Anolis sagrei: one gene and its partner. The protein of the gene in region 1 interacts with the protein of each later gene in a pairwise test. Links are inferred from orthologs where the notes say so. Each region holds a gene or a part of one and is shown on either strand. Other genes may lie near its edges. The genes, in order: CEBPE and CEBPG.

What was found.
Region 2: the proteins of CEBPE (region 1) and CEBPG interact in a two-hybrid assay, tested with the Homo sapiens proteins (2 studies listed by BioGRID and IntAct, with this or other methods). The link is inferred for Anolis sagrei from reciprocal best matches to the Homo sapiens genes CEBPE and CEBPG.

Annotation. Positions count from the first base shown.
Region 1 is NC_090026.1:9,167,242-9,176,678, reverse strand, and holds the start of CEBPE (CCAAT/enhancer-binding protein epsilon), read right to left. Parts: upstream 4,034-9,437; 5' UTR 3,681-4,033; coding exon 3,255-3,680; intron 1-3,254. UniProt on the Homo sapiens protein: Transcriptional activator. C/EBP are DNA-binding proteins that recognize two different motifs: the CCAAT homology common to many promoters and the enhanced core homology common to many enhancers.
Region 2 is NC_090028.1:3,816,703-3,825,672, forward strand, and holds the start of CEBPG (CCAAT/enhancer-binding protein gamma), read right to left. Parts: upstream 3,624-8,970; 5' UTR 3,523-3,623; intron 3,203-3,522; exon of another isoform or gene 3,141-3,202; intron 3,133-3,140; exon of another isoform or gene 2,993-3,132; intron 1-2,992. UniProt on the Homo sapiens protein: Transcription factor that binds to the promoter and the enhancer regions of target genes. Binds to the enhancer element PRE-I (positive regulatory element-I) of the IL-4 gene. Binds to the promoter and the enhancer of the immunoglobulin heavy chain.

The DNA of each region.
Region 1 (9,437 bases):
GAAAGTATAAAAAGAGGATTGTAGCTGCTGGAACTTCCAGGAGAGGGAACTACCATATATACTCAAGTATAAGCCAACCCGAATATAAGCCAAGGCACCTAATTTTACCACAAAAACTGGGAAAATGTATTGACTCAAGTATAAGTCGAGGGTGGGAAATGCAGCAGCAACGGGTAAATTTCAAAAATAAAAATAGATGCATTATTATTATTAATTTATTATTAAAATTACATTAATTGAGGCATCAGTAGGTTAAATGTTTTTGAATATTTATCATATTTCAAAGTTGGAAGGGGCCTCTAAAGGCCATCTAGTTCAAACCTTTTCATTCTGCTTTCATGCAGGGAAAGCACAATCAAAGCATCATCAACAGATGGCCATTTGGTCATAATAATAATAATAATAACGAGTTGGAAGGGAGCTCTAAAGCCCATTTAGTCCAACCCTCTTTATTCTGCCTTCATGCAGGGAAAGCACAATCAAAACACCCCTGACAGATGGCCATCCAGCCTTAATATTAATGTTAATAATAATAATAATAATAATAATGAGTTGGAAGGGAGCTCTAAAGACCATTTAGTCCAACCCTCTTCATTCTGCCCTCATGTAGGGAAAGCACAGTCAAAACACCCCTGACAGATGGCCATTCAGCCTTAATAATAATAATAATGAGTTGGAAGGGAACTCTAAAGCCCATCTAGTCCAACCCTCTTTATTCTGCCTTCATGCAGGGAAAGCACAGTCAAAACACCCTTGACAGATGGCCATTCAGCCTTAATATTATTATTAATAATAATAAGTTGGAAGGGAGCTTTAAAGGCCATCTAGTCCAACCCTCTTCATTCTGCCTTCATGCAGGGAAAGCACAGTCAAAACATCCCTGACAGATGGCCATCCAGCCTTAATATTAATATGAATAATAATGATAATGATAATAATAATAATAATAATAATAATAATAGAATTGGAAGGGAGCTCTAAAGACCATCTAGTCCAACCCTCTTCATTCTTACTTCATACAGGGAAAGCACAGTCAAAGCACTCCTGGCAGATGGTCATCCAACCATAATATTAACAACAACAACAACAACAACAACAACAACAACAACAATAGTAGAGTTGAAAGGGATCTCTAAAGGCCATTTAGTCAACTCCTGGAGCCATATTTTGGTGAACTGTAACTAAGGGCCCTCCTTCACAGCCATATAACCCAGAATATCAATGCAAAAAAATCCCACAATATCTGCTTTGAACTGGGTTATTTCTGCTTTATCCCTACAACTGGGTCCACGCTGCCATATATTCCAGTTCAAAGCAGATAATGTGGGATTTTATTCATCTGGGTGGAAGGGGCCTAAGATGGAGCCCTTGCAACGGAATAACCACATATTTTTCCCATCTGCTCCAGACTCCGTTTCCTTCCCTTTCTCCTGTCTTAGATTATAGGAGACAAGTCCCTTGGGGAAGGGTTTTTTTTATACCCTGGGGAATGTTGTGTGTATAAACAGTTCCCGAGGGAAATCCACTCCTAAAAGAGTTATCATGAGGAAAAGGTGCCTTCACTGAAGCTTTCTCGGAAATTCTTGTCTCCACAATAAGGCAATTTTTTTCAAAATTATTACAGGGATAGAAAGTGAAGAGAAATCTTCTGAACAGGGGCACAGACAGCCAAACAAACACTAGAGAGGTGTTAACTCTTCTCTATGCAATCCAAAGCATACGTGAGTCCCGCCCTGAGTCCCTTCAGAGAGAGAGGGTGGGTTATAAATGAAGTTGTTATTATTATTATTATTATTATTATTACTATTATTAGAAACACAACAAGATGAGTCCATAGCAGACACTCTGCTGGCTGTGGAATTGGATCATACGTCGGACATTTCCCAAGTGTCTAGGACTGTGTGATGTATCGGCGAATAATACGTGCAGATCCCAGTGAGGTGGACTTTTGCAGCTGGCAGATGGTTGTTGTTGTTGTTGTTATTATTATAAACACAATAAGATTAGTACTCGGCAAGCAAGATCAGTATGCTGGTTGTTGTATTGGATCACCCGTCAGACACTACTCAAGTGTCTAGGACTATGTGATGTATCGGCAAATAATGTGTGCAGATCCCAGTAGGGTGGCCTTTTGCAGCTGACAAATGGTAATTTTGTCAGCGCCGATTGTGTTTAAGTGCAGGCCAAGGTCTTTAGGCACTGCACCCAGTGTGCTGATCACGACTGGGACTACCTTTACTGGCTTGTGCCAAAGTCTTTGCAGTTGGATCTTTAAATCCTCATAACATGTCAGCTCCTATTATTATTATTATTATTATTATTATTATTATTATTAAAAGGTAAAGGTTGTTCCCTGATATTAAGTCCAGTCATGTCTGACTCTGAGGTGTGGTGCTCATCTCCATTTCTAAGCCGAAGAGCCGGTGTTGTCCATAGACAGCTCCAAGGTCATGTGGCCGGCATGACTGCATGGAGCGCTGTTATTATCATTATTATTATTATTATTATTATTATTATTATTGTGTGTGTGTATGTGTTTGTGTGTATGGAGCCCCCCCAGTGGCCCAGTGGGTTAAACCACTGAGCTGCTTAACTTGCTGACCAAAAGGTCAGCAGTTAAAATCCGGGGAGTGGGGTGAGCTCCTGCTGTTAGCCCCAGCTTCTGCCAACCTAGCAGTTCAAAAACATGCAAAGGTGAGTAGGTTAATAGGTACCACTTCGGCGGGAAGGTAACGGCACTCCATGCAGTCATGGTGGCCAAATGATCTTGAAGATGTCTACGGACAATGCCGGCTCTTCGACTTAGAAATGGAGAAGAGCACTACCCAGAGTTGGACACGACTAGACGTAATGTCAGGGAAAACCTTTACCTTTGAGATATATATATATATATAATCATAGAATCATAGAGTTAGAAGAGACCTCATGGGCCATCCAGTCCAACCCCCTTCCAAGAAGCAGGAATATTGCAATCTATCTATCTATCTATCTATCTGGAGTTACACTTTTAAAATGTACCTATTCCGACTTCCATACAAATTCAACTTAAGAATAAACTTACAGAACCTATCTTGCTCGTAACTTGGGACCTGCGTGTATAAAGAAGAGCAAACAATGCCTAAGGAACATCAAGCAGGAAGGACAGTGCAGACCCAACCATAAATATGGATCAGGACTTCATGGTCTGTGATGTGTTCTAGACTAGCAGAGCCTCCTAGGGTAAATGGTGGCTGAAGACCATTTGATCTCCTTACCTTGAGCACTCTCAGAGCTTGTCCGGCACGCCCGCCTGGCTGTCCAAGGGCCACTTGGGCGCAGTGGGCACCTGGGAAGTGCATGGCATTGTATGGGTGGCGTCCGCCCACCCGTCCAGCTTCGCTTCCTCGCGGCTCCTCCTTGACAGCGACGGAACGTGGGTCCAAGGGTCCCAGGCCCTTGCGCTCCCCTCCATAAGAGAGGAAGGGGTACGGCTCCATGGGGAAGTAGTTGGGAAATGGGGTGCCTTTGGGGCCTCTGTGCTGAGCCCCTTGGAGCAATTCTGAGAGCAGCTGTTCATCTCCGATGTATGACGCCAACTCAGACTCACAGATTGGGCCCAGGTCGGTGCCAGCAGGCCTTGCAGGAGGTACTTCCAGGGCTTGGTAGTGCCGCTCGCTCTCAAAATATCCTCCTTGGGACATGGCCCTGAGCTGCAATTCCCAGTTCCCTGGTGTTTTCCTTCTCTCCTTGGACAACCACTGGCACCAGCGTACTTCTTTAGTGCCGGTGTATATTTTAACTCTCCTCTCCCAGGTTCTGTTTTGAGTCCTCTGTTTCTTCTTTTGGAGCACTTCAAGTTTGCCTAATTCTGTTCTTCGACTTGGTTTTGATTCTGATTTGTTCTCCTTTGTTGTTCTTGGTTGTTTGTTCTCCCAGATGAAGGATTTCACTCGTCTTTTCTTGTTAAAATTTTCTGTCCCTTTCCGCCCTTTTCTGCTCACTTTCTACCTTTCCTGCTTTCTCCTCTGTCTCTGTCTGAGCCTTGTTCCCTCTTTCTCCTCATCTTCTTCCTTCCCTCCTTTTACCTCCCTCCCTCCCCCTTCCTTCCTCTTTCTGAGGTGCATCTTGGCTCCTGCTTTTGGCAATTTCGCCTGGTTCACCCAGGAAATGTCTTCATTCCTATTTCCACGCAGAACCCCAGTATGTGCCCTTGTGACAAACATATCGCTCGGCATAAACCATACCTTCTGTTCAACCGTAATTCAACATGCCTAAACCAAGCGTGAGAACATGCAGCTCTCAAGATCTTGTTGGCCTACAGCTCCAAGCCGCCATAGTCAAAGTTGAGAAATTATGGGCATTAAAAATCATAAATAATAGTAGTAGTAGTAGTAGTAGTAGTAGTAATAATAAATTTTATTTCTACCCCGCCACCATCTCCCCGATGGGGACTTGGAGCGGCTTACATGGGGCCAAGCCCGGACAACATAATACAGCAATAAAATCAAAACATATACAACAAACAACAACAACATCATCAAAGTAACATTAAAAAGGAGAAAAATCATAAAATAAACATTTGAATAAACACAATCACGGTAATGATGACAATGGGCGGGCCATATATTCAGGATAAAAAAAACCAGTTTAATGAGATAAAATAGGAGCAGGACGTTTATATGGAACTCATAAAACACACAGGGTTATGAGGCTGAACATTCTATTTGGAGGGCACGAACTCCATTGGCAGAAAACGTTGAGGGGTGCAAAATATCATGCTGTGCACCTACTCACCAAAGGTGCAGCGGAAAAAACAGGTTTTGAGGTTCTTTTTAAACATTTCTAGTGAAGGGGCTTTCCTGATCTCCCCAGGTAAGGAGTTCCAAAGTCGGGGGCCACAGAAGAGAAAGCTCTCTCCCTTGTGCCCACAAGATGAGCTTGTGAGATTGGTAGAGGTGAAAGGAGGACCTCTTCCGAGGAACGAAGGGCCCGGGTTGGTACGTGAAGAGAGATACGGTCACTAGATGACTACAAGGATCAACTAGTTCAGACCTCTGCCATGCAGGAATATATCAAGTGTTCCTGAAAGATGCCCATCCTGTTGTAGCATGAAAGGAATCAGTGAGTGTGTGTGTTGACTGTAAAATAAGATGATTGGTCGGGCTACGTCCGGAGAGATGGCTGAGCCTGGGACTTTTGGATACTGTTACATTTTTCAGACTTGAGTTATACAGGTGCTTGCAGAGAAGCAGAAAAAAGCAGAGAGAGAGTTTGGAGTGTGCTCTTGCTTCATGTGCTGCTGAAGGACATCATCCACATGGACAAAGAAATACCATTTTAAATCTCTCATAAAAGGACATTATGTGAGTTGATGTAACTGACCACATGATTGTACATATGTTGTTCTGAACTACGAAGAGTAAACTACTTGTTCTTTATTGTTCATCTGTGTAGCATATTTTCTTTCTCTAACAAGGTGATGTATGTGCTGATCAAACACAAACTACACATGATTTTCATTTCGTCACACATCCAACCTCTGTTTAAAGATCTCCAAAGATGGAGATCCCACCACTCTCCAGCACAAGCAGCTTTTATAGAAAAGGTTTGGGTGAAATTTCTTTTATTGTAATTGGAAACCATTGGTTTGTGTTCTGGTCTCTTGAAGAGCAGGAATAAACTTTCTCCGTCTTCTGCATACCATCCTATAAAGATGCCTATTGTATCCCTTCCTGTTCTTCAACCTAAAAGTGCCCAGCTCCCAAAGTTGTTCCTCAGAAAGCTTGGCTTCCACATCTTTGATCATATTGCTCACCCTCCTCTAGATCCTATTTCCTGCAATTGTTAGAGAGGATGCTAAAAAGCACCTATGAAATGTCTTTTTCTCAAGAGCTGGCTCTAAAATATTTTGCCTGCGGAAGATCAGACAACTATCCCTACCCACACTGGTGTATCTAGCTCAAGTCTAGTTATTTTGCTCTCAAGAACAAAAACAAATATACCCTACAAATATTTCTCCTTCTCTCTGATGGTAAACATTACAATAAACTTTGATGCCTTGGAAGGGCATTTTCTGAAGGGATCTTTTTTCCTTCTTCTCCCTGACGATAAACATTACAATAAGTGTTGGTGCCTTGAAAGGGTGTTACCTGAAGGTAAAGGTTTTTTGAAATTGTACCTTCCAGAATCCCTTGGATATTTAGGAAATTTTAGCCTAGAACAGTAATTTTTCAGAGCTGTGCCGTTCCAGCTTTGCTTCCTTAATCTTTGGGCCAAATAGGAACCAGAGTGAGGCTGATGGAATTAAAAAATGCACCAAGTGATTGCATTGTCTTTGGGCACCAGCAGAGGATGCTCTGAAGCCAAACATGTTACTGCTGCATAGATTATAAGCAAGCAAGAATCAGTGATATTTGGGGAAGAGAAAAGAAGAGCACTGTTTGGTGTGTTCTTTCTGATCTGATAGAGGAAAGGCTTCTTCTCTCAGTAAAGGATAATGAGTGTCTCCTTACTCTTGATTTATGAATTGAGACATAGACTCAGTAGTGCTTTCCAGCTCAGTGAGTGGTTAATCCACTTTGATTTTGAGTCTGGACTTTAAAGGAGCTATCCAGAGTGCTGAACCTAGTTGGACCATAGGGCTCAGCACCTTGGGTAGGTCAGCCATCATCAATATGCATATCCACTCAGATCTTGTCATTTTACTAAAATGCAGACTGAAGGCCAATAGACAGCCTGTGTCAGGAGGATCTGCCATTCTGATTTTTAACTGTGTTTATTACATTAATGGAGCCCCCAGTGGCGCAGTGGATTAAAGCACTGAGCTGCTGAGCTTGTTGACCGAAAGTCGCAGGTTTGAATCCGGGGAAGCGGGGTAAGCTTCCGTTGTCAGCCCCAGCTTCTGCCAACCTAGCAGTTCGAAAACACGCAAATGTGAGTAGATCAATAGGTACCGCTCTAGTGGGAAGGTAACAGCGCTCCATGCAGTCATGCTGGCCATATGACCATGGAGGTGTCAATAATAATAATAATAATAATAATAATAATAATAATCTTTATTTATACCCCGCTACCATCTCCCCAAGGGACTTGGTGCGGCTTACATGAGGCCGAGCCTGCAATACAAACAATACAAGCAATACAAGCAATAACAGGTACAATACAAAGCAATTAAAAAATAAATAAATCATAATAAATAAATCTACGGGCAACGCTGGCTCTTCGGCTTAGGAATGGAGATGAGCACCACACCCCAGAGTCGGACACGACTGGACTTCATGACAGGGGAAAACCTTTATCTTTACCTATTACATTCATGTCTGCCACTGAGAACTGGGAAGACCTGGCCATTGAGTGCTCCAGCTGGAGGTCAGCTGTGACCAGCAGTGCTGCAGAATTTGAAGAGGCATGAATGGAGGGCGAAAGAGAGAAACATGCCAAGAGGAAAGCACATCAAGGCAACCCCGACCGGAACCGCCTTCCACCTGGAAACCAATGCCCTCACTGCGGGAGAAGATGCAGATCAAGAATAAGGCTCCAAAGTCACCTACGGACCCACCGCCAGTACACTGATCTTGGAAGACAATCCTACTCAGACAACGAGGGATCGCCTAAGTAAGTAACTAAGTCATGTCTGCACCTTTTTCCAGAAATCTCAAAGATGGTACTTCTCCCCTCAGTCTCACAAAAAGCCTGGCAGGTTAAGTTTAGGGTGATCAGTGGACACTGGCCCAAGAGGGCATAGGATTAAGATGGGATTTGAACCTGGTTCTTTTCGACTCAGCACACAATCTAACCCCTCTTTTCAGCTGAAGGCCCGATTCTATTTCAGATCTCCACAATTCCAGTGGCGGGTCAAGCAAAAGGAGAGAAGCATATTTTAGATTAATGATTTTCCAGCAAAGAATTTTCAGCTGAGAAAGAAGCCCGAATAGATGCTGGGAATCGACCAAACGTTGATATCCCATGAAAGGAATGTGGCCACTGGGGAACCACTGAGGGTCACTCTCAACCCCAGGCTTTGAGGTTTCCTACACTTGCACTACCCAGTTTCACAAAGACTGGTCTCTCTATTTTTAGGGCTTACAATCTTGTAGGTATAGATATGGATCTTGGAGGTCTAAATTCTTCCTTTGAGGGCCAAGAACCCTTACAAACCAGCCAGCACAATGTTTGAAGTCCTCCCACAATGATTTCCTAATGTACCATTTGTGGTTCTTAGTTTTGTGGTGGCTATTAAAAACAACATCGGACATTTGCTCCATCTTCTGCCCCTTCTAATACTTTTGTGAGAATCTGAAAGTTTTGGAGTGGTCTTTGGTAAAACTGTAATTTTAATTATATAATGGTTTCGTTATAGTTGTCACCTCAGGAAGATATCTGGTTATTCTGAATAGTGAAATCTCAAATATGGGAGAATTTCAAACTAAATGAAAAAGGAACTCAAAGGTAAATGCGATTGAGTGTAAAGTGAGCTCAAGCCAAAAAAAATCTACTGATGGAACTAACTAGTTTGAAAATAACATGTTATAATCCCACACCCCTCCGACACATCAGCACTTTTAACCCTGTACCCTACTTCGGCCAACTCAGTTTTTAATAATGTCTTGTCGTGTTGCTATTGTCATTGTTTTTGCTTGACTGTTTTATTTGCTATGTATTGTATTGCTGTATTGTTTTAGGCTTCGGCCTGCTGTAAGCCGCATCGAATCCTTCGGGAGATGCTAGTGGGGTACAAATAAAGGATTCCACAGACCACTGAGATCCCTACGAATTACAGACCTGGACCAACTTGGCACACAGAACTCCAGTGACTAATAGAAAATACTGGAGGGGATTGGGAAGAATTGACAGTGATTTATGGGAGATGTAATTCACCTACATCCAGAGAACACCGTGAAACCAACCTCAACCAATGATGGACCTGGATCAAACTTGCACAGTGAGAGCCAGGACATGCAGGAAGCCTACCGATCGGCCCAGCCCCTTCTGAGCTCAGCAGGGGCAATGGTTAAGCTGCAAAGGTTCCCTGGATGGCCTGGCCATGCGTGGAGCCTTGTGCTCGACCCTCACCCCCGCCGAGCTTGGAAGGGGCAAGGGTCGAGCGCAAGGCTCCCTGCATGGCCACACTTTTTATTATTTTCATTTTACATTAACCCAGAATCCATAATGAGAAAAAAATTGTGTGTAATGTTTGAATATGGTTAGTGGATATGGATTGCTGAACCTCAGAAACTTATATGACTCTCATTTCATTTCTTTTCTCGCAGTTGCCATGTGGTGTGCATTTTGAGGTGTGTGCACTTTGTGGTACTATAGCTTATCCTGATGGGAGTGGCTTCTGCCTGCAGAACCAGTCTGACAAACCTTCCTCCTTCACTTCTGCTGTGCTTTTTACTCTGAAGTGTTTTTGAATTCTGCCCCCAAAGCTTTGGAACCATGTGGTGCATTATTTATAT
Region 2 (8,970 bases), on another chromosome or scaffold:
TAAAGTATGTCTCACTCAATAATAATAATAATAATAATAATAATAATAATAATCTTTATTTAATACCCCGCCACCATCTCCCCAATGGGGACTCGGGGCGGCTTACATGAGGCAAGCCCAACAGCATATTACAATAAAATAACACCAAAACACAATAACAACACAGTAAAATACATACAACATATAAGTACAAAAGATGATAAAACAAAATCATACACAATAAAATAACAATGAACGGGCCGCATGTGTAAGATTAAAAACTAAAATACTGAAAATACTAAAATCAGGGTGAGACATAGATGGAGCAGATTGTTTGTGAAGGAGAAACTCATAAAGGAATGGGGTCGTAAAAATAAAAAGGGAAAAAGAAGAGGAGGTAGTAAAACGAGAAAATGTGGTGTAGTGGTTTGAACCTGTGACTGTGGCTCTGTACCCTCTGGGTGACTTTAGGTAAGTTCCACTCTCTCAGCCTCAGAAGAAGAATCAAACTTGCCAAGAACACTCTGTGAGAGGGTTGTCTTAAGGTTGCCCTGTGTCTGAAATGACTCGAAAGCACACAACAAGAACCACCTGAGGGTGTCTGAGGGACCATGAACTTGCACTGTTTTAAAAATCTAAACATTTATTTACACTTAAACATTGCTCTGCACTTATTTTCAACTGTATCTATTTCCATATAGTGTTGCTGATGTTTGATGCTTGATAGCACAAACCTGTAATACACATCATTACAGCCTTTCACAGTTATCAAAAACATTTGCAGAAATCAGTATTTAACGGGGTTGAGAGAAAGAACTTTCAAAAGCTCTGGCAAGATCCACGAATCCCCCTATATATATACACACACACACACACGTATGTATGTATAATAGTTGTTATTGTGCCAATTTTAATTTCTATACCCCAAGGTATTCCAGTTAATACTGCTTGCCAACTCCCTGTCAAAAAGGAAATAGAAGCACAAGCTTGTTTGGAATGAGAATAAACCTGAAACTAAAGGGGAGATTTGGGGCAAACTATGTATAGGTATAAAAGTGCATCTGCACTGTAGAATGAGTGCAGTTTGACATCATTTTAGCTTCCATGGCCTAATGCTATGGAATGCTGGGAATTGTAATTTGGTATGAAGCCCAAATTATTATTATTATTATTATTATTATTGTTGTTGTTGGAAACACAGTGGCATCCAAAATGTCTGTGTATATGTGTTCTGTGTGTGTGTATATGTGTTTATGTGTGTGTATATATGTGTTTATGTGTGTGTATATATGTGTTTGTGTGTGTATATATGTGTTTATGTGTGTGTATATATGTGTTTATGCGTGTATATATATTTGTGTATTTGTGTTTTATATGTGTACATGCATATTGTGTCTATGTGTATGCTTGTCTATAAGCATATTTGTGTGTATGTGTGTATGCATGTATGTATATTTGTGTACATGTGTATGTGTATACGTATATATGTATGTATGCATGTGTATATGTATATATGTGCACATGTGTATATGTATATATATGTGTGTGTATATTTGTGTGTTTGTGCATATGTGTGTACAATGCGTGCATGTGTATATGTATATGAGTGTATGTATATATGGTGCATTTTTTTGGTTTTTAAGTCTGTTCCACTGGGGCTTTGTGTGTGAGTGTGTGTGTTTAGGGGGGATGGACTGTTAGGTGTATTGTGTCCAAATTTCGTGTCAATTCGTCCAGTAGTTTTTGAGTTATGTTAATCCCACAAATGAACATTACATTTTTATTTATACAGATTATTATTAGTATATCATTGTATTGGTATATTATACTAATATTCATTGTATTAATATATATTAATATATATATTAATATTGATACAATAAGTTAATGTAATAAATTAATATAATAATTAACATAATGTATTAGTATAATATAGGAGTATTGTGTCCAAATTTCGTGGTTTCTGAGTTATGTTAATCCCACAAACGAACATTACATTTTTATTTATATAGCTTATTATTAGTATATCACTGTATTAATATATTATATTAATATAATATATTGATACAATAAGTTAATGTAATAAATTAATATAACAATTAATATAATGTATTAGTATAATATAGGAGTATTGTGTCCAAACTTCGTGTCAATTCGTTCAGTGGTTTTTGAGTTATGTTAGTCCCACAAACGAACGTTACATTTTTATTTATATAGATTATTATTATTATATCATTGTATTAATATATTATATTATAATATATTGATACAATAAGTTAATGTAATAAAATAATATAATAATTAATATATATAATTAATAATATAATATAATTAATATATCATATTTATTTCTTTATTTATTTAAAAGTTTTATATACCGGCCTTCTCACCTCTCTTGAGGTACTCAGACCAGTTTCCAACCATAATATCACATACAATCAATAAAACATAATTCATATTACAATAAAACATTAAAACAGAAATTACAATCAATAACTATAATGGCCAGTCGTCACACTAAAATCGTTGTTCATCGTCCTCCATCCATATCTCAGGGTGTTGGCTCACTCGTCGAATGCCTGTCTCCATAGCCAAGTCTTCACCTGTTTCCTAAATGTCAGGATAGAAGGGGCGGTTCTGATCTCCAGTGGGAGAGAGTTCCAGAGTCGAGGGGCCACCACCAAGAAGGCCCTGTCCCTCGTCCCCACCAGACGCGCTTGTGAGGCCGGTGGGACCGAGAGCAGGGCCTCTCCAGACGATCTTAGTAATCTTGATGGTTCATAGGGGAGAATACGTTCGGAGAGGTAAACAGGGCCAGAGTCGTATAATTAAAAATATAGGAATATAATATAGTATAATATAGGAATACAATATTATATAGTATTATATATTATTAAAATTATATATTATTATAATTATATTATTATTATATATTATAGTATTATATATTATTGTAATATATTAATATATAAAATCTTGCTTATATGATGGAGCAAAACCAAAGAAGGAATACCATTTAAGTGACATTCCAGATCCCCCATTCTAAAGCACCCTCAGGCTGTCTTTCCTCCTCTTGTTTTGGCCCTTCTCCTTCCTTCCTTCCTTCCTTGCCCAGCCTGCTGTTTCCTTCAGCGCCATTACCATGACGTCACCCGCATTACCTCTGAAAGTGTCTCCAAGATTGCATCATCTTCCCTTCTGCGCAGGCGCAGACCCGAAGGTGACGCGAGAAAGCAGCTTCCCTCCAGTGCGCACGCGCAAAGGGGGAGGGAGGGGGAGTTGGGTCGCCTATGCGCACGCGCAAAGGCGACCCAACTCCCCCTCCCTCCCCCTTTGCGCGTGCGCAGCGTGAGGACTCCCTTCTCTCGCTGGCCTCGAAACGGGTGTGCGCATGCGCAGAAGGGTTTTTGTTGTTTTCTCTCTCTCTTTCTGCCTTTCAGGAGAACGAGCAGTCATCCCGCTTTCCCCGGGACTTCCGGAGACGGTTCCCCCACCAGGACGGGCCACTCCACCCCTCGGCGGCCTCCTTCGCCCCTTCCTTACCTTTCCCTCCGTAGGAACTGCCGCCGCCGCTTCCTCCCTGCTTTTCCTCGCTCTTTCGCCTGCGCGGTTGCGAAACCGGGCTCCAGCCAATCGGGCTTCGAATTACCTCACGGGGGACGCGATTGACAGCTGCCTCCACCAATGAGGAGCCAGGGCTCCTGGCGCCGGGTCCAATCCGAGGATTCGGACTGGGAGATTGACAGCTCGCGACACCCAATGAATCTCGTCGCTTCGCTATATTGTACCCAATAAGCGAGCGAATTGAGGGGGCGGGCCCAGAGTTGTTTTGTTTACTTAGTCGGCTGAGTTCCTTGCATTTTGTCTCTGCCTTTCCCATCTATTATTATTATTATTAATAATATTAATAGCACAATACTCATGCTTGCATAATTGCACCTACACATTCATTATTAAAATTATAATTATTTTTAGACACTTTATTATTATTATTATTATTATTACATTTAATAACTCAATACTCATGCTTGCATAGTTGCACCTACACATTAATTTATATAATTTTAATTATTTTTAAAACACTTTATTATGAAAATGGCTGGAAGAAACATTAACAACCTCAGATATGCAGATGACACCACTCTGATGGCCGAAAGCGAGGAAGAGCTGAGGAGCCTTCTAATCAAGGTGAAAGAAGAAAGCGCAAAAGCCGGGTTGCAGCTAAACATCAAAAGAACCAAAATTATGGCAACAAGAGTGATTGACAACTGGGAAATAGAGGGAGAAAACGTGGAGGCCGTGACAGGGTTTGTATTTCTAGGCGCAAAGATGAGTGCAGATGCAGACTGTGGCCAGGAAATCAGAAGACGCTTCCTTCTTGGGAGGAGAGCAATGTCCAGTCTCGATACAATAGTAAAGAGCAGAGACATCAGACTGGCCACAAAGATCCATTGCCTAGTCCAAGCCATGGTATTCCCCATAGTCACCTACGGATGTGAGAGCTGGCCCAGAAGGAAGACTGAGCAAAGGAAGAGAGATGCTTTTGATCTGTGGTGCTAGAGGAAATTTCTGAGAGTGGCCTCGAAACGAAAGGAGATGAGAGACCAAGATGAAGTCCTTTGGCCACGTCATGAAAAGACAGGAAAGGTTAGAGAAGACAATGATGCTGGGGAAAATGGAAGGAAAAAGGAAGAGGGGCCATCCAAGAGCAAGGTGGATGGATGGCATCCTTGAAGGGACTGGATTGACCTTGAAGGAGCTAGGGGTGGCGACGGCTGACAGGGAGCTCTGGCGTGGGCTGGTCCTTGAGGTCGTGTCATTGTGTCATTAGCAACCATTATTTTACAATTCTAACAGAGCAAAACAAACACAGAGATTAAAAAGAGAAAGAAAAAAAAGAAAAAAAAACCACACAGATTTTGTAAATTTGGTATTTGGTTAAATGTCCTTTGACCAGTATCTGGCCACTTGGAGTGCCTCTGGGGTTGCCGCAAGAAGGTCCTCCATCGTGCATGTGGCAGGGCTCAGGGTGCATTGCAGCAGGTGGTCAGTGGTTTGTTCTTCTCCGCACTCGCATGCCGAGGATTCCACCCTGTAGCCCCATTTCTGAAGGTTGGCTCTGCATCTCGTGGTGCCAGAGCGCAATCTGTTCAGCGCCTTCCAAGTCGCCCAGTCTTCTGAGTGCCCAGGGGGGAGTCTCTCATCTGGTATCACCCATGAATTGAGGTGCTGGGTTTGGGCCTGCCACTTTTGGACTCTCGCTTGCTGGGGTGTCTCTGTAGATCTAAGAAAACTATGTCTTGATTTAAGTCGTTGACGTGCTGGCTGATACCCAAACAGGGGATGAGCTGGAGATGTCTCTGCCTTGGTCCTTTCACTATTGGCTGCTACTTCCCGGCGGATGTCAGGTGGTGCAATACCGGCTAAGCAGTGTAATTTCTCCAGTGGTGTGGGGCGCAGACACCCCGTGATAATGCGGCATGTCTCATTAAGAGCCACATCCACTGTTTTAGTGTGATGAGATGTGTTCCACACTGGGCATGCATACTCAGCAGCAGAGTAGCATAGCGCAAGGGCAGATGTCTTCACTGTGTCTGGTTGTGATCCCCAGGTTGTGCCAGTCAGCTTTCGTATGATGTTGTTTCTAGCGCCCACTTTTTGTTTGATGTTCAGGCAGTGCTTCTTGTGGGTCAGAGCACGGTCCAAAGTGACTCCCAGGTATTTGGGTGCGCTGCAATGCTCCAGTGGGATTCCTTCCCAGGTAATCCTCAGAGCTCGGGATGCTTGTCTGTTCTTGAGATGAAAGGCACATGTCTGTGTTTTAGATGGATTAGGGATCAGATGGTTTTCCCTGTAATAGGCAGTAAGAGCACCTAGAGCTTTGGAGAGCTTCTGTTCTACCATCTCAAAGCTCCCTGCTTGAGCAGTAATGGCACGATCGTCAGCGTAGATGAAACTCTCTGTCCCTTCTGGCAGTGGCTGGTCATTTGTGTAGATGTTGAACATGGATGGAGCAAGCACGCTCCCCTGAGGCAGGCCGTTCTTCTGTTTCCGCCATCTGCTTCTCTGGCCCTGGAACTCAACAAAACCCAGAAGCAACCAGAAGCAACCAGAGTCCTTGAGGTCACCTAGAGAAGACAATGATGCTGGGGGAAATGAAAGGAAAAAGGAAGAGGGGCCGACCAAAGGCAAGATGTATGGATGGGATCCTTGAAGTGACGGAATTGACTTTGAAGGAGCTGGGGGTGGTGATAGCCGACAGGGAGCTGTGTAGTGGGCTGGTCCATGAGGTCACCTAGAGAAGACAATGATTCTGGGGAAAATTGAAGGAAAAAGGAAGAGGGGCCAACCAAGAGCAAGGTGGATTGATGGCATCCTTGAAGGGACTGGATTGACCTTGAAGGAGAAGGGGGTGGTGACAGCCGACAAGGAGCTCTGGCATGGGCTGGTCCATGAGGTCACGAAGAGTTGGAAACAACTGAACGAATGAACAACAAGAAGTTGTACTTGCACATTAATGAAGATGATAATAATAATAATAAGAAGAAGAAGAAGAAGGTAGGTAGGTAGGTAGATAGATGATAGATAGATGATAGATAGATAGATAGATAGATAGATAGATAGATAGATAGATAGATAGATATTGGGAGCTCACCCCACTCTCTGGATTAGATAGAGAGAGAGAGAGAGAGAGAGATGATAGATAGATAGATGATAGATAGATAGAGTGCAGTGGTTCTCAACCTTCCTAATGCCGTGACCCCTTAATACAGTTCCTCATGTTGCGGAGACCCCCAACCATAACATTCTTTTCGTTGCTTCTTCATAATTGTAATTTTTCTCCTGTTCTGAATCGTAATGTAAATTTATATGTTATGCAGGATGTATTTTCATTCACTGCACTACATTTGGCACAAATACCCAATATGCCCAAATTTGAATACTGGTGGGGTTGGGAGTTGCAGTTGATGGGATTTGTAGTTCACCTGCATTCAAAGAGCATTCTGAGCTCCACCAATGATGGAATTGGACCAAACTTGGCGCACAGAACTCCCATGACCAGTGGAAAATACTGGAAGGGTTTGGTGGGCATTGACCTTGAGTTTTGGAGTTGTAGTTCACCTACATCCAGAGGGCATTGTGGACCCAAACAATGATGGATCTGGATCAAACCTGGCATGGATACTCAATATGCCCAAATGTGAACACTGGTGGCATTTAGGGGAAATAGACCTTGACATTTGGGAGTTGTAGTTGCTGGGATTTATAGTTCCCCTACAATCAAATAGCCTTCTGAACCCCACCAATGAAAGAATTGGGCCAAACTTCCCACACAGAATCCCCATGACCAGCAGAAAATACTGTGTTTTCTAATGGTCTTTGGTGACCCCTCTGGCAACCCCTCGCAACCCCCCCCCCAGGGGTCCTGACCCCCAGGTTGAGAAACACTGATCTATCTGAATTAGACCCAATATTACTCAGTCATATCTCATTTGCTATTCTTTCTATCTCAATTAGCTTCTTTATCAATATAACTCAATCGTACTTACAATGATTTTTTCAGAGCTCCCTGCCTGACCAACAGCACATCTGAAGCTTTCTTTCTCTACACTGAAGGAGGCAGGGGAGATTCCAAAATGGAGATCTCATCCCCTGGAAAAAGGGCGGTCTCTACACCCAAAGAGATACTTTCTAAACCAATAACTGCAGAGGGCCTGCAGGCTGGCTTTGCAGACTCTTATACTGTTTAACTTCCAGGGAGCTGCTGGGTCTGCAGCAACCCTGGGGAAATGCAAAAGAACACTATCCCGTGCAACTAAAAGGTAATGCAAACTATGCTCCTGGAAGACGGAACACTGGTGGAGTTTGGGGAAAATAAACCTTGACATTTGGGAGTTGCTCGGATTTATAGTTCACCTATAAATCGACCCTTCCTGGAGAGTTGATCCCAGATGGTGAAGCTGTGAGATGCCTGCTCGGACCCCTGGCCATTGACCTGTGGGGTCCCGCAAGGCTCTATCTTGTCTCCCATGCTTTTTAACATCTACATGACACCGCTGGGAGAGGTCATCTGGAGTTTTGGAGTTAGGTGCCACCTCTATGCAGATGACACACAACTCTATTACTCATTTCCACCTAATTCCAAGGAGGCCCCTCGGGTGCTGGACGAGTGCCTGGCCGCTGTGTCTATCTAGATGAGGACGAACAAGCTGAAGATCAATCCCGACAAGACAGAGGTCCTCCTGGTCAATTGTAAACTGGATCGGGGTATAGGGTGGCAACCTGTGTTGGAAGGGGTTACACTCCCCCTGAAGTCACAGGTCCGCAGTTTGGGAGTCCTCTTGGATTCATCACTTACGCTTGAGGCTCAGGCGTCGGCGGTGTCCGGGAGGGCTTTTGCACAATTGAGACTCATGCGCCAACTACGACCGTACCTCGCAAAGGCTGATCTGGCCGGGGTGGTCCATGCCTTGGTCACCTCTAGGTTTGATTACTGTAATGCGCTCTACGTGGGGCTGCCCTTGAAAACGGCTCGGAAATTTCAACTTGTCCAACAAGTGGTGGCCAGGATGTTAACTGGTGCTCCTTACAGAGAGAGGTCAACCCTCCTGTTTAAGGAGCTCCATTGGCTGCCGTTTATTTTCCGAGCCCAATTTAAGGTGCAGGTGCTTACCTACAAAGCCCTGAACGGTTTGGGACCCACCTACCTGCGTGACCGCATCTCCGTTTATGAACCCATGCGTTCTCTTCGCTCATCCGGAGAGGCCCTGCTTGCGATTCCACCTGCGTTACAGGCGCGTCTGGTGGGGACGCGAGACAGGGCCTTTTCTGTGGTGGCCCCCTGACTCTGGAACACCCTCCCCAAAGATATTAGACAGGCCTCTACGTTGGCAGTCTTTAGAACTTGAAGACCTGGCTGTTCCGATGTGCCTTTCCAGAATAGGAAAACTCCAACAACATGTCCCAGAAGCACTTTCTTAGAATTTAAGA